Linked DNA regions of Anolis sagrei. The protein of the gene in region 1 purifies or fractionates together with the protein of each later gene. This does not show direct contact. Links are inferred from orthologs where the notes say so. Each region holds a gene or a part of one and is shown in the gene's direction. Other genes may lie near its edges.

What was found. Proteins that work in one complex are often made in the same cells at the same time.
Region 2: the proteins of PNN (region 1) and CLK2 purify together in Homo sapiens (affinity purification with mass spectrometry; 3 studies listed by BioGRID and IntAct, counting the BioPlex papers as one, with this or other methods). This does not show direct contact. The link is inferred for Anolis sagrei from reciprocal best matches to the Homo sapiens genes PNN and CLK2.

The regions. Positions count from the first base shown.
Region 1 is NC_090021.1:303,574,555-303,582,898, forward strand, and holds the start of PNN (pinin), read left to right. Parts: upstream 1-4,779; 5' UTR 4,780-4,904; coding exon 4,905-5,017; intron 5,018-7,322; coding exon 7,323-7,394; intron 7,395-8,344. Other genes in the region: TRAPPC6B (trafficking protein particle complex subunit 6B), read right to left, coding at 503-598. UniProt on the Homo sapiens protein: Transcriptional activator binding to the E-box 1 core sequence of the E-cadherin promoter gene; the core-binding sequence is 5'CAGGTG-3'. Capable of reversing CTBP1-mediated transcription repression.
Region 2 is NC_090032.1:7,779,974-7,787,555, reverse strand, and holds the start of CLK2 (dual specificity protein kinase CLK2), read left to right. Parts: upstream 1-4,167; 5' UTR 4,168-4,263; intron 4,264-7,056; coding exon 7,057-7,220; intron 7,221-7,582. UniProt on the Homo sapiens protein: Dual specificity kinase acting on both serine/threonine and tyrosine-containing substrates. Phosphorylates serine- and arginine-rich (SR) proteins of the spliceosomal complex.

The DNA.
Region 1 (8,344 bases):
AGGATGAAGGATGTGTATAAGGTACCTGTCATGCTCTATGGCAGGCCTGGGCAAACTTTGGCCCTCCGGGTGTTTTGGACTTCAACTCCCACAATTCAATTCAAAGTCCAAAACACCCGGAGGGCCAAAGTTTGCCCAGGCCTGCTTTATGGAATTTGGGACTTCTGGAATTTGGGAAGTCCCCAAAGGCTCCTTTGGCATCATCTCTGTTTTGATATTAAGGCCTCCTCCCCCCCCCCCCCCCTCCGGCAATGGGGAAATTTGACAGACAGAGAAGATGTATCTATACTGCAGAAGTAATGCAGTCTGACACCACTATACTGGCCATGGGTCAGTGCTATGGGATCACAGGATCTGTATCTGAGTGAGGCGAGGCCTAGGATTCTTTGGGAGTGGAGGGAGGCCTAAAGACACCTATATCTGGATTGTAGCCTTGAGCCAAGGCAGTGAAAGCGGTGTAGCCAGGCCGAAGGGAGATGGGTCTCATGCGGGACTGACTCACCCCGTCTCCCTGCTCGGCGGCGCGGTAGAGGCCCGCCACCATCTCGTTGTGGAGCAGCAGGAAGAGGGCCTCGTCCGCCATCTCCGCCTTGTTCATGCCGGGCCTCCCTGGGAGACGCAAGGCCCGCTCCTCCGCCGCGACGCTTCCTCCCCGCCTTCCTTCTCCTCCTCCAAGCCCAGCGCCTCCCGAAGGCCCGGCAGGAGGAGGAGGAGCTGCTAAGCAGGCCTGGGCCAACTTGGGCCCTCCCTCCAAGGGTTTTGGACTTCAGTTCCCACCATTCCTAACAGCCTCAGGCCCTTTCCTTTTTCCCCTCAGAAGCGGCCTGAGGCTGTTGGGAATGGTGGGAATTGAAGTCCAAAAACCCTGGAGGGAGGGCCCAAGTTTGCCCAGGCCCTCAGAAGAGGCCTGAGGTTGTTGGGAATGGTGGGAATTGAAGTCCAAAAACCCCAGGCCCTCAGAGGGGGCCTGAGGCTTTTGGGAATGGTGGAAATTGGAGTCCAAAACCCTGGAGTCCAAGTTTGCCCAGGCCCTCAGAAGGAGCCTGAGGCTGTTGGGAATTATGGGAATTGAAGTCCAAAAACCCTGGAGGGAGGGCCCAAGTTTGCCCAGGCCCTCAGAAGGGGCCTGAGGTTGTTGGGAATGGTGGGAATTGAAGTCCAAAACCTCCAGGCCTTCAGAAGGGGCCTGAGGCTGTTGGGAATGGTGGGAATTGAAGTCCAAAAACCCCAGGCCCTCAGAGGGGTGCTGAGGCTTTTGGGAATGGTGGGAATTGGAGTCCAAAACCCTGGAGGGAGGGCCCAAGTTTGCCCAGGCCCTCAAAAGGGGCCTGAGGCTGTTGGGAATGGTGGGAATTGAAGTCCAAAAACCCTGGAGGGAGGGCCCTAGTTTGCCCAGGCCTGGTCTACACTGTAGAATGAATGCAGCCTGACCACTCTGACTGCCACAGCTCATGCCTCCATAGTCAAGAAGACTATGGCCTTCCCTCCAGCTGTTTTGGACTTCAACTCCCACCATTCCTAACAGCCTCTGGGCCTTTCCTTTTTTTCTCCTCAGTCACTTGGAAAAGGAAAAGGCCTGGTGTTATTAGGAATGGTGGGAGTTGAAGTCCAAAACCTCTGGAAGGCTGAAGTTTGTTTTGCATCCAGTCCATGGGCTTTAGTTTGGGGACCCCTGGTATAGACATTTAGGGTGATCAATACAAATTACAATCCACAGTCTTATTGCTTCAAAAGTATATAAATGGTTGCAAGGTTTACAGTTTGCGATTGGTATATAGTATGGCGGGAAACTTGATAAACCTTTTAATTTGAGGAATTCTGGAGCTGGTCTTCTGTAAACACGCCAGCCACCCCCTTCTGCCTGAAGGAGCTCATCAGCCTGGAAAGGGATTATTTTGGGGAAACAATGTTTGCTGATTGGTATCAGCTGGCAGAGGGGAAGGTTTTCTTGATTGAACAATACATGGATTGTTATTCCAAAATGATGGGTTTGACTTTCTCGGAGTGGGATAGGAGCACGCCCTGCACTTACCTACATAATCCTTACATAATCTTTGGCTTCAGCTTTCTGTGAGTTGATCAGGTGGTGGGAAAATAAGGGGGTTTGTCAATGTTGCCCAGCTAAGAGTCTTTTTCTGGCTTCGGAAGCTCAGCGGAGTAACTACAGGTCATTTCTGAACCTCAACATTTTTAGGAGCCCCAGCTTCAGACAACAACATCAACTACATAATTTCCATAAATCTACCAATTTGAAATCTGTTGCAGCAAATAAATAAAAAACTTGCACCACCACAAATCAGTAGAGTAAGTTTTATTGAGTCAGAGTCCTACTAGGTTAACTCTAGGGAAATACACAACTATCCGATAATCAGATGTATTTATCGTGTCAGAAGCAAATTGAGAATACACAAAGTTTAAAAAAAACAAAGTTTAAAACTTAGCATTATGCTAGATTTCCTTTGACCAGAAGCTGGCCACTTCAAGTGCCTCAAGTGTGAAAAGGTTGTGCATTTAATATGCATTTAAAAATACAAAGTTAAAAAAACCCTTGGCATTATGCTAAATGTCCTTTGACCAGAAGCTGGCCATTGGAGTGCCTCTAATGTCGCTGTGAGAAGGTCCTCCATTGTGCATGTGGCAGTACTCAGACTGCATTGTAGTAAGTGGTCTGTGGTTTGCTCTTCTCCACACTCCCATGTTGTGGACTCCACCCTGTAGCAACATTTCTTAAGGTTGGTGTTGCATCTCATGATGCCGAAGTGCAGTCTTTTCAGCGCCTTCCAAGTCGCCCAGTCTTCTGTGTGCCCAGGAGGGAGTTTCTCATCTGGTATCAACCACTGATTGATGTCCCGTGTTTTAGCCTGGTACTTTTGGACTCCGCTTGCTGAGGTGTTCCTGCAAATATCTCTGTAGATCTTTGAAAGCTGTTTCTTGATTTAAGACATTGGCATGCTGGCTGATATCCAAACAGAGGATGGGCCTGAGATGCCAATGCCTTGTTCCTTTTATTACTGGCTGTTACTTCCCCGGGGGGGGGGGGGGGGCGGGGGGGGGGAGGTTGAGAAGGGCAGGGTACAAATATCTGAAATAAATAAATATCAGGTGATGCAATACCGGCTAAACAGTATAATTCTCCAGCAGTGTTGGGCATAGACTTCCTGTGATAATGTGGCATGTCTCATTAAGACATCTACTGCTTGAACATGGTGAGATGTATTCCATACTGGACATGCGTATTCAGCAGCAGAGTAGCAAAGCGCAAGGACAGATGTCTTCACTGTATCTGGTTATGATCCCTAGGTTGATAATTAGATTAGAGACTGTCAGTACACAGTATATGGCATGACTGAATGCTGGAAGAGCAGCAGTGTATGAGTTTAAGACACAATTACTTGCAAAATCAGATTCTTATCTGGTGATCGTTTATTTAGGATTAGGCAAAAAGGCCCACAACTTCCATGATTCCCTAGCTTTGAGTTATAGCAGCCAAAATAGTGTCAAACCGCATTAATTCTACAGTGTATATACATCTCTGAAGTCACCGATTGATTTACAGTCTATGTAGTAGCTATTTTGTGCTACAGCTATTTGTATTAGGTAAAAAAAAGGTAAAGGTTTTCCCCTGACATTAAGTCCAGTCGTGTCTGACTCTGGAGTTGGTGCTCATCTCCCATTTCTAAGTCGAAGAGCCGGCATTGTCCGTAGACACCTCCAAGGTCATGTGGCCTGCATGATTGCATGGAGCACCATTACCTTCCCTATTAATCTATTCACATTTGCATGTTTTCAAACTGCTAGGTTGACAGAAGCTGGGGCGGACAGCGGAAGCTCACACCGCTCCTCGAATTCGAACCTGTAACCTTAGGTAGTTACCTCATACACATTTCAGCATTTTATAAGAGTGACTCATCTATAGTCAATTTGTCATGTTGATCCCACATTGATTTTTTTATTTCTTCTATAGTTTTGAGATAAAAGATATTGGGATAATATTTAGAAAATGTCACAATAAAATTTACTCAAAAACAAGGTACCAAATAGGAAATTGGGAGGCATATCTCAAATCGCGTAAATGATTCAGAATATATTTTGATTAAACCAATTATGTGTTGTGTTGTAGTTCTATGGAAAAGGTTTGGGAACCACTGACCCTGAGCACCTGGTATTTATTGGTGGTCTCCCATTCAGACACTAACTAGGGCTGACCCTGCTTAACCTCAATCTCCAAGATCAACCAAGATATGGTGCAATTAGGGTAATCAGTCAGTAAAAGAACAGAGATTACTGGGATTAAATATATTGTTTGATTTTATTGTGTCTTATGCTCTTAAATTCACTGGTTAGCCTCCACATTCCTTTCTCAGAAATGCCTTAGCCCCGCCCCTTGCACTCAAGAACGCCTCCTAACCCACAGAGGCGCGAAAATAGTAGGGCGGGGAATATAATACAGAGAGAGAACCTACCTCCAAGCACGGATTGGCCATATGGTTGTGCCGCTTGCCATTCGGTTGGCTGCTTATTGTGTCATTCAACTCTGGTACTTAGCGATTGGCAGAAGGAACCCAACAGGATTCTTTCTAAGTGGCTGAAAGCGACGTCACTCCACCAACGTGAACCGTTGAGTGGCAGAAACGGGAAACTTGATTGGTGCACCGAGCTGCCGCTCAATCTCAGAGGCGGGCGACTCGTGAGAGATTCCGAGTACCGATTGGACAAACGTGATGTCGTTTTAATGTGCTGGTTCCCGATTGGTGGATTCTTTGAGGGAGCCACGTTACACGTGTAGGCGGGGTAACTTCCCCCTCTGCTCCCCAGCTCTTCGCTTACCCGACCGCGCTTTCTGCTGGGCCCAGGCAGGGTAGGCCGCGCCTGTCCTGGTACTAGGAGTAGTAGTATCAGGCGAGATGGCGGTGGCCGTGCGGGCCCTGCAGGAGCAGCTCGAGAAGGCCAAGGAGAGCCTCAAGCACGTCGACGAGAACATCCGCAAGCTCACGGGGCGGGACCCCAACGATGCGAGGTGAGGGAACCAGCCCAAGGGTGCTTTTTCAGGGCCCTTCCACACAGCCAGAAACAGCAAGGCAGGAAATCCCGCATTATCTGAGTGTGGACTCGGATAACCCAGTTCAAAGCAGATATTGTGGGATTTTCTGCCTTGATATTCTGGGATATAGGGCTGTGTGGAAGGGCCCTCAGTAAGGAACTGCCATATAATCCAGATTAACCACTTTAAACCGGATTATGTGAATCTACACTGCGGTTCGGTTCAGCTGCATTCACAAACTATTATATGGCAGTGTAGATGATGATACTGGGAAATAGGGCTGTGTGGAAAGGCCCTCAGTGAGGAACTTCCATATAATCCAGATTAATCACTTTAAACCGGATTATGTGAATCTACACTGCGGTTTCTGTGTTCGGCTCAGCTGCATTCAGAAACTACTATATGGCAGTGTAGATAATAATAATAATAATAATAATAATAATAATCTTTATTTATACCCCGCCACTATCTCCCCAAGGGACTCAGGGCGGCTTACATGAGGCCAGGCCCGACAATACAATGCATCCGTATAAACCAATACAGCAATAAAATAAAACTACAATACAAAACCATAATAAATAACATATCAGCAATAAAACACAGCACTTAAAAACACAAAAATCCTACACTGAGGGCAGGGCCTATTCTAATAGATTTAAAATTTAAAACACTGGGCGTGGCAGCAATAAAATAAGTCTGAATAGAGGTTTTAGAGCAGGGTTCCTCAAACTAAGGCCCGGGGGCCGGATACGGCCCTCCAAGGTCATTTACCCGGCCCTTGCACAGGGTCAACCTAAGTCTGAAATGACTACAACAACAACAATCCTATCTCATCAGGCAAAAGCAGGCCCACACTTCCCATTAAAATACTAATAAGCTTATATTTGTTAAAATTGTTCTTCATTTTGATGATTGTATTGTTTTTAAGTGTTTTTTGCACTACAAATAGGATATGTCCTTCTCAGTGCCTTCTCAGTGGTGGCCCCTCATCTGGAATTCACTCCCCGGGGAAATTAGATCAGCGACATCCCTCCTTTAGAAAGAAATTAAAAACATGGACGTGGGACCAGGCGTTTGGGCACTCTGGCAGATAAATAAAGGACTGTGATGACGGATAGGAATAGACAATGTGGAACGAAGTATGGACTCTGAGTTGGTGAACGCTGTGCTTGAGATTGGCTATTGATTGTGATATATATAGTTGTTTTAATTGTTTAACTGCTTAACTGCTGTTTTTATACATTTATTGTATTATTGTGTAGGCATCGAATTGTGCCATTTTGTAAGCCGCCCTGAGTCTCCCTCGGGGGTTGAGAAGGGCGGGGTAGAAGTATACGAAATAAATAAATATGTGCGGTGTGCATAGGAATTCATTCGTTTTTTTTCAAATTATAATCCGGCCCTCCAACAGTTTGAAAGACTGTGACCTGGCCCTCTGTTTAAAAAGTTTGAGGGCCCCTGTTTTAGAGGGTGAGGTAGGATTGATTGCCCAACAGGTAGAATAAAGTGCTTCAGAGGACCTTTTGCAGGGAATTGGTCAGATCAGGGAATTATTGCTCTTTCATTCAGGGAAGGCACATTGGAACAACCAAGTTTTCAAGCTCCTCCTAAAGACTGCCAATATGGGGGCTTGCCTAATATCCTTAGGGAGCGAATTTCAGTGTCGAGGGGTCACCACTGAAAAGGCCCTCTCCCTCGTCCCCACCAGTCGCACCTGCGAAGGGGGCAGGAGCGAGAGAAGGGCCTCTCTGGACAATCAAAGAGATTGCATGAGTTTGTGAATGGAAATGCAGGTAGGCAGGTCCCAAACTGTCCAGGGCTTTGTAGATAAGGACCTGCACTTTGAATTGAGACCGGAAAATGAACGGCAGCCAGTGGAGCTCTTTAAATAGGAGGGTTGACCACTCCCTGTAATTTGCTCCAGTTACCAATCTGGCTGCTGCCCGTTGGACCAAATGAAATTTCCAGGCCGTCTTCAAGGGCAGCCCCACGTAGAGCGCATTGCAATAATCCAATCAGGAGGTGAGTTAAGGCCAGATCTGACTTCACGAGGTACGGTCGCAGCTGGCGCACAAGCTTCAATTGTGCAAAGGGGCCCGATTCTTCTTTATAACAAGGAAGCAGGGTACTACTTACTACTAATGTAACAATTGTATATATACGATAATAATTATATTGTGTGTGTTGGTTTATATATAATGTAATACCAATTATATGTGTGTCTTTACCTATTTGTATATCATAGTAATTTTATGTGTGTATGTTTGTGTTCCTTTTTCAGGCCTGCTCAGGGTAGGCTCTTGACCATCACAGGCCCAGGTGGAGGTAGAGGGCGTGGAAGTATACTGCTGAGGTAAGAGTCTATGGAAGTATTGTCCTCCGGTGCATCTGCGCCAGGCATGGGCAAACTTGGGCCCTCCAGGTGTTTTGGTCTTCAACTCACACAATTCCTAACAGCCTCAGGCCCCTTCCTTTCTTTCCTTTCTGCTCAAGCAGCTGAGGGAAAAAGGAAAGGGTCTGAGGCTGTTAGGAACTGTGGGAGTTGAAGTCCAAAACACCTGGAGGGCCCAAGTTTGCCAAGGCCTGATTTACACTTGATTCTATGGCGTAGATGCTTCCTAATTTAAGTGAACCTTAACGCAGACTTTGCTTGGAAATAAGTATTTGGAGAGGGTTTGCCTTCCTCTGAGGCTGAGTGTGTGACTTGCCCGATGCCATACAGTCTCCCAGAGCTCTAGGGTGCATCTGCAGTGTAGAATTAATGCATTTTGATGCCACTTAATGGCACAGTGTTATGGGATTGTGGAAGTTGTAGTTGCACAAGCAACTTTTAGGTGCCGTTTGCAACTGTTTCCACAATGTGAGTAGTGCATTGCTGCACAGGACTGACAAATTTATTTATTTACTTCATTTATATATAAATACAAATTGGGGGGGGGGGAGTGGACTAAAAGCAGTTTCCAACATATTTATGGCAAAATGTAATGCCTCACATACATATGTAACCTAAGATAAAATAATAACATATCACTATCAATTAAATTATAAAAACGTAACAATATTTGGACATTAATATGTGGAGTAAAAACATATTAATATAAGCATTAAAATCACATAATCCAAAAAATGTAGTCCATTTGAACACCTTACATAAAATTGTAAATTAAGATGGAGTTTGTAACCATATTATTATGACATTTATTTTTTTACTGTTGAATTAATGCACTTTGACCTCACTTTAACTGCAGTGGCTCAATGATTTGGACTCCTGGGAGTTGGCATTCTGTGGGACACCAGTACTGT
Region 2 (7,582 bases), on another chromosome or scaffold:
TCACTGATTTCCTGAGAGCACTGCGAAACACATAAATAACTGATATAGACCAACCTTGGCACACAATGCCTTTCTCAAATAACCCGGGCACAGCCGGGTCCCCAAGCTAGTATTTTAATAAATCAAATGCAGAAATAATCCTGAGAATGTGCTCTTTAATTACCACTATTCACTTTTCCACATAATCACCAGACAATTGGATACATTTCTGCCAATGATGTACAAGTTTTCTGAAGATGAGAGTAGTCACCAATGTCTCTAAGAGCCGCCATAAGAAAGAACTCATTTGAAAGACTGTCATAATATTGGGAGGCAAGCTCCATCTGCTGGCCCTCTTGGTGAATAGTTCTCGAAGGACTTACCCCCAAAAGTATGGAAAATAAGTATATTTATTTAACAGTGTAGACCCCATCTCAAGGATGGAAATGGTGGTGGGAACATGGTCCAAAGCTGCCTCGAATTTCATTTGGGGAGAAAAGTAGGATGGAAATGAAATGATCACACCAGTAAATAAAGATGAGGGTTGAATGAAAAGTAATGCCTCCAGCTTTGTTAGCCCGAAAAAACCTACAACAACCCTTTGTTACCTGAGTTTGGATGGGAATATTTTAATAAATCAAACTCAAAAATAATCCTGAGAATGTGCTCTTTAACTACCACTATTCACTTTTCCACATAATCACCAGACAATTTGGATACATTTTGTTTTGTTTTGGGGTGTAATGTCACCTGTATGCAAATGATGTTCAACTCTATCACTCCTTCCCACCTGCTACTAAGGAGGCTGTATACCACCAAGAACTTTCTACAATTTATTATGATCCACACTGTCAAAGAAAACCTTTACCTTTACCTATTCTTGGGTATCTGAAGGCATAAAAATATCAAGAAAAGATAAACATTAACATTAAAAATAATCTAAAATACAACTTACCTGTCCGAACGCATCCCCTCCTATGAACCAGCTAGGGTGTTATGATCATCTGGGGAGGCCCTGCTCTCGGTCCTGCCTGCGTCACAAGTATGAGAGACAGGGCCTTCTCAGTGGTGGCCCCTCAGCTGTGGAACACCCTTCCTACAGAAATTAGATTGGCCCCCCTCCCTATTAGCATTTCGGAGGAAAGTGAAGACCTGGTTATTCAAGCAGGCATTTGAATAGTGTATTGAATATAGGAATATGGAACAATGGATTATGAGATTGGATCTTGATTCTACCTATGAGACGCTAATGAGATGTTATAGTTATGTTTAATTGATTGTTTATTATGTCATTTTTTAAAGTGTTTTTAAACTATTTTTATGAATTGTCGAAGGCTTTCATGGCTGGAATCACTAGGTTCTTGTGGGTTTTTTCGGGCTATAGAGCCATGTTCTAGAGGCATTTCTCCTGACGTTTCGCCTGCATCTATGGCAAGCATCCTCAGAGGTAGTGAGGTCTGTTGGAATTAGGACAATGGGTTTATATATCTGTGGAATGGCCGGGGTGGGGCAAGGAGCTCTTCCCTGCTGCAGTTAAGTGTGAATGTTTCAGCTGATTACCTTCATTAGCATTTGAAGGCCTGCCTGAGCCTGGGAAAATCTCTTGCTGGGAGGTGTTAATCTGTGCCTGGTTGTTTCCTCTCTGTTGTTTTGCTGTTGTAATTTTAGAGTTTTTTTTAATACTGGTAGCCAGATTTTGTTCATTTTCATGGTCTCTTCCTTTCTGTTGAAATTGTCCACATGCTTGTGGATTTCAATGGCTTCTCTGTGTAGTCTGACATGGTGGTTGTTGGTGTGGTCCAGCATTTCTGTGTTCTCAAATAATATGCTGTGTCCAGGCTGGTTCATCAGGTGCTCTGCTATGGCTGACTTCTCTGGTTGAAGTAGTCTGTCATGCCTTTCACGTTCCTTGATTCGTGTCTGGGCAATGCTGCGTTTGGTGGTCCCTCTGTAGACTTGTCCACAGCTGCATGGTGTACGGTAGACTCCTGCAGAGGTGAGAGGATCCCTCTTGTCCTTTGCTGAACGTAGCATTTGTTGGATTTTCTTGGTGGGTTTGTAGATTGTTTGTATGTTGTGTTTCCTCATCAGCTTCCCTATGCGGTCAGTGGTTCCCTTGATGTATGGCAGGAACACTTTTCCTCTGGGTGGATCTTCGTCTTGACTCTTGTGGCTTCTTCTCAGTTGTCTTGCAGCTCTTCTGATGTCTGAGGTGGAGTCTCCATTGGCCTGGAGAGCCCAGTTGAGGTGGTTCAGTTCATCTTGGAGGAGAAGGTGGGCTTCGCAGATTCTTTTTGCACGGTCTGCCAAGGCTTTAATGAAGCTCCACTGGCTGCCGATTTGCTACCGGACCCAATTTAAGGTGCTGGTTTTGGCCTACAAAGCCCTAAACGGCTCCGGCCCAAAATACCTTTCGGACCCATCTTGGCCTACGAGCCCACGAGGACCTTGAGATCGTCTGGGGAGGCCCTTCTCTCTATCCCGCCTGCCTCACAGGCACGTCTGGCGGGGACGAGAGAGAGGGCCTTCTCGGTGGTGGCCCCCCGGCTGTGGAACACTCTCCCTGCAGGCATCAGACAGGCGCCCTCCCTTATGTCCTTCCGAAAAAGCCTTAAGACCTGGCTGTTCGAGAAGGCATTTAATTAAGTGCTATAACAATGTGGTAAAGATGACTGGAATGGAACAAGGAATATGAGATTGGTTATGATTCTACTATGAGACGAAGCGGATTATTTAGTGTAACTTTGTAATTGTTATATTGTTAAGATGTTGTTGTAATTGCCTTTTTGTAAATTGCCTTTTTATATGTGTTGTACACCGCCATGAGTCGCCCTAAAGGGCTGAGAATGGCGGTTAACAAATGCATCAAATAAATAAATAAATAATAAATAATGGTGCTTCTTTTTTGACTTGGGTGATGGTTGGAGTTTTTATCTAGATATCTATCTGTGTGTGTGGGTTTTCTGTAGACGGTGTGACCCAATTGTTGATCTGGTTTGCGGATAACTAGGACATCTAGAAAAGGCAGTCTTCCTTCATTTTCCTTTTCCATGGTGAACTGGATGTTAGGATGGATGCTGTTAAGATGGTCCAGGAACCTGTTGAGTTCTTCTCCTCCATGGCTCCAAATGGTGAAGGTGTCATCCACATATCTGAACCATATCGTGGGCTTTTTGGTTGCTGTCTCCAGGGCTTGTTTTTCAAAGTGTTCCATGTAGAAGTTAGCTATGACCGGGCTGAGAGGGCTCCCCATAGCTACTCCATCTTTCTGTTCGTAGAATTCATTGTCCCACTGAAAGTAACTGGTGGTGAGGCAATGGTGAAACAGAGCCGTGATGTCTTCTGGGAACCTCTGGTTGATGAGTGCCATGGTGTCTGCTACCGGGACCATGGTGAATAGAGATACCACGTCGAAGCTGATCAGTTTGTCCTTGGTATTTAGCTTGAGATTGCTGATTTTTTTTCTTTCTATGAAGTGGGCTGAGTCCTTGATGTAGTGTGTAGTGAGCCCAATATGGCTTTGTAACTGTGCCGCAAGAAATTTTGCTAGGTCGTATGTGGGGGATCCAATGGCACTCACGATGGGTCTGAGTGGGGTGGAGTCCTTATGGATTTTTGGGAGTCCATAAAGCCTGGGTGGATGGGCTTCCGATTTACATAGCTGTTGTCGTATGTTTATTGAGGAGTTTTTAATCAGAGTGTTGGTTTTCCTGGTATTTTTATGAAGTTGAGCACTGAATTTTGCTATTGTATATAAATAAAGTAAGTAAGTAAATAAATAAAATATATGCCTGACATAGACATGGGCAAACTCTAGCTCTCCAGGTATTTTGTAGTTGCAGTCCATGTCTGGCTTAACATATTTGAAGCTGCAGAATATGTAGCCTTTGAGAGAAAGTTAGAAATAGTCCCGCAAGTTCGGACAGGCGTTTAGTCAGCTTTGCATCGCTCTATGTCCACAAGCCCAATACCCTCCTATCTTCACCGCTCGCTCCGCCTTCTCCCGTGACGTCACGGCGCATTCTTACGCCGGCCCCTACGTGGCGTCGTTCGCCCCGTACGTGAGCGTTTGCTGCGCATGCGCTTTGTCCTTCCATTCCCCCCCACCCGCTCCTTCAGAGCAGCCGTCTCTGGGTTTGAGGAGGGGGAGCAAAAGAAAGGCTACGGTGGCGGAGGAGGAGGCCGGAGAGGAGCGGAGGAGACGTGGCCGCCGTGGCCGCCACTGCAGCCGCCGCCAAGACGGACTTCTTGTGGGACAAGCGGACAGGGCTGGCGGCCAAGAGGGTGCGGGAGTGCGCATGCGCGGCGGAGAAGAGGGGACCCCCTGGAGTTGGGCCCATCCCCCCCTTCCCATGCCTCTTGGCTTCTTTTCATTGGTGGCATCTAAGTGGTAGTCTCCTCTGTGCTTGGGTGCAAAAGAACTATAGTAGAGATCTAATCTGGGGAAATTAACTTGCAAATGGAGATGAGTAACCTAACCAGGCCTTTTGGAAGACAGGAGGTGTAGGCCCCATCTACACTGCCATATAATATTGTTTGAATCTGCGTTATATGGTCAGTTATATGGTTAGGAAAGGCAGGGAACCAATTAATGCATTATTATAATGGGTCGTTGTAGGTTTTTTCGGGCTATATGGCCATGTTCTAGAGGCATTTTCTCCTGACGTTTCGCCTGCATCTATGGCAAGCATCCTCAGAGGTAGTGAGGTCTGTTGGAACTAGGAAAATGGGTTTATATATCTGTGGAATGACCAGGGTGGGACAAAGGACTCTTGTCTGTTGGAGCTAAGTGTGAATGTTTCAACTGAGCACCTTGATTAGCATTTGATGGCTTGGCAGTGCCTGGGGGAATCTTTTGTTGAGAGGTGATTAGCTGTCCCAGATTGTTTCCTCTCTGTTGTTTAGCTGTTGTAATTTTAGAGTTTTTTCATACTGGCAGCCAGATTTTGCTCATTTTCGTGGTTTCCTCCTTTCTGTTGAAATTGTCCCATACCTTATGTCAGTGGTTCTCAACCTTCTTAATGCTGTGACCCCTTGATACAGTTCCTCATATTGAGGTGATGCCCAACCATAACATTATTTACATTGCTACTTCATAACTATAATTTTGCTACTGTAATGAATCATAGTGTAAACATCTCATACGCAGAATGTATTTTCATTCACTGGACCAAATTTGACACACATGCCCGATACGCCCACATTTGAATACTGGTTGGATTGGGGGGGGGGGGGTAGATTTTGGGGTTAGGGTTGCTGGGATTTATAGTTCACCTACAATCAAAGAGCAGTCTGAACTCCACCAGAGAGAGAATTGGGACATACTTTCCACACAAAATACCCATGACCAACAGAAAAGGGTTTGGCATTGGCCTTGAATTTTGGAGTTGTAGTTCACCTACATCCAGAGAGCACTATGGAAAATCAGGGAAAATACACTTGCAAATGGAGATGAGTAACCTAACCAGGCCTTTTGGAAGACAGATGTAGGCCCCATCTACACTGCCATATAATATTGTTTGAATCTGCGTTATGTGGTCAGTATAGAGACTTGTTGAACCCTTAGGAAAGGCAGGTAACCAATTAATGCATTATTGTAATGGGTTGTATGGCCATGTTCTAGAGGCATTTTCTCCTGACATTTCGCCTGCATCTATGGCAAGCATCCTCAGAGGTAGTGAGGTCTGTTGGAAGTAGGAAAACGGGTTTATATATCTGTGGAATGACCAGGGCGGGACAAAGGACTCTTGTCTGCTGGAGCTAGGAGTGAATGTTTCAACTGACCACCTTGATTAGCATTTGATGGCCTGGCAGTGCCTGGGGGAACTCTCAAAAGTCAAGGTCTATTTTACCCAAACTCCACCAGTGTTCACCTTTGGGCATATGGAATTTTTGTGTCAAGTTTGGTCCAGATCCATCATTTTTTGAGTCCACAGTGCTCTCTGGATGTAGGTGAACTACAACTCCAAAACTCAAGGTCGATGCCCAGCAAACCCTTCCAGTATTTTCTTTTTTTTAAAAAATAATATTTTATTGAGTTTTCTAAAATACAGCAAAAGAGGGGGAATAATTCAAGAGGATAGAAAAGTAGGAAATTTTAGGAACCATAAGACTAAACTAACAAAGTCACACAAATCCCAAAACCGAAAATCAAAGAGAAAAGAAAAAAGAGAAAAAATCACAAAAACAAAAATTGGACTTCCTTCCAATTCTGCCCGTATAGTCACTTCTTTTAGTTCATATCTTATATATGTTCCAATTTATCTCTTCATTATATCTTCAGCACAATTATGAGTTCTTATATCTAGTTTCGATATGGTAGTCAATTATTGACCAATCTGTCTGTTTGGGTGGATTACCTGTATTCTTTTTTAATAAAAAAGTTGATGTATCCATGTCCTTAATTTCCTTCAGCTTCTTTATCCAGTGGAGTTTGTCTGGTAATTCTTTCTGCTTCCAGAATTTCGCAAAGACAATTCTAGTGGCCGTTGTCCCCCTTCCAGTATTTTCCATTGGTCATGGGACTTCTGTGTGCCAAGTTTGGTTCAATTCCATTGTTGGTGGAGTTCAGAATACTCTTTGATTGTAGGTGAACTACAAATCCCAGCAACTACAACTCCCAAATGACAAAATCAACACCCCAAAAATCCACCAGTATTCAAATTTGGGAGTATCGGATATTTGTGCCAAATTTAGTCCAGCGAATGAAAATACATCCTGCATATCTGATATTTACATTACAATTCAAAGCAGTAGCAAAATGACAGTTATGAAATAGCAATGAAAATAATGTTATGGTTGGGGATCACCACGACATGAGTAATTCTATTAAGGGGTCGCGGCATTAGGAAGGTTGAGGACCACTGGTATAGTGCAATATAGTAATATCTAATACTGATATTGTACTATGCTAATAATATAATATATTGTATGAAAACATATCTTGTAAGCCGCTCTGAGTCCCCTTCGGGGTGAGAAGGGAGGCACATAAATGCCGTAAATAAATAAAAAAAATAATGGCCACTTTGAGTTTGAAAGTGTATGCCTGTGAACTTAGACTCGTCTCCATATTTGCAGATGCCTCATTCCAGAAGGTTCCGCTCGTCGGAACGCAGCAGCCGGGGAAGCTACTACGAACGTTACAGAAGCCGCAAGCACAAGCGGAGGCGGAGCCGCTCTCGGTCAAGCAGCAGCGAGCGCCGACATCGCAGGGAAGACAGCTACCATGTCCGATCCCGAAGGTGAGTGCGAACAGGGGCTATTGGCAACTATATTGGCCAAAGTCAGAACTGTATACTTCTTAAGGCCTTTTGACATGCTTGGCCAGGGATAAGTTCAAGTTGTTTGGACACCAGTAGCTTCCCCGAGCATGGCTAGGGAGCCATGAGAGTTAAGGCCAAGACATATAATGATCACACATTTTACTACTCATGCATTAGGGGGAAAAGCCTCAGAGTTTGGTAAACAAGAGACTGTATAATCTTTGGTCTTTCAGATATTTTGGATCTACTGGTTTCAGTAGATGAATATGCATTGGGTAGCTGAAGTCTAACAATATCTGGAAGGATGTATATGATACGTATGTGTACATTCCAATTCAAGG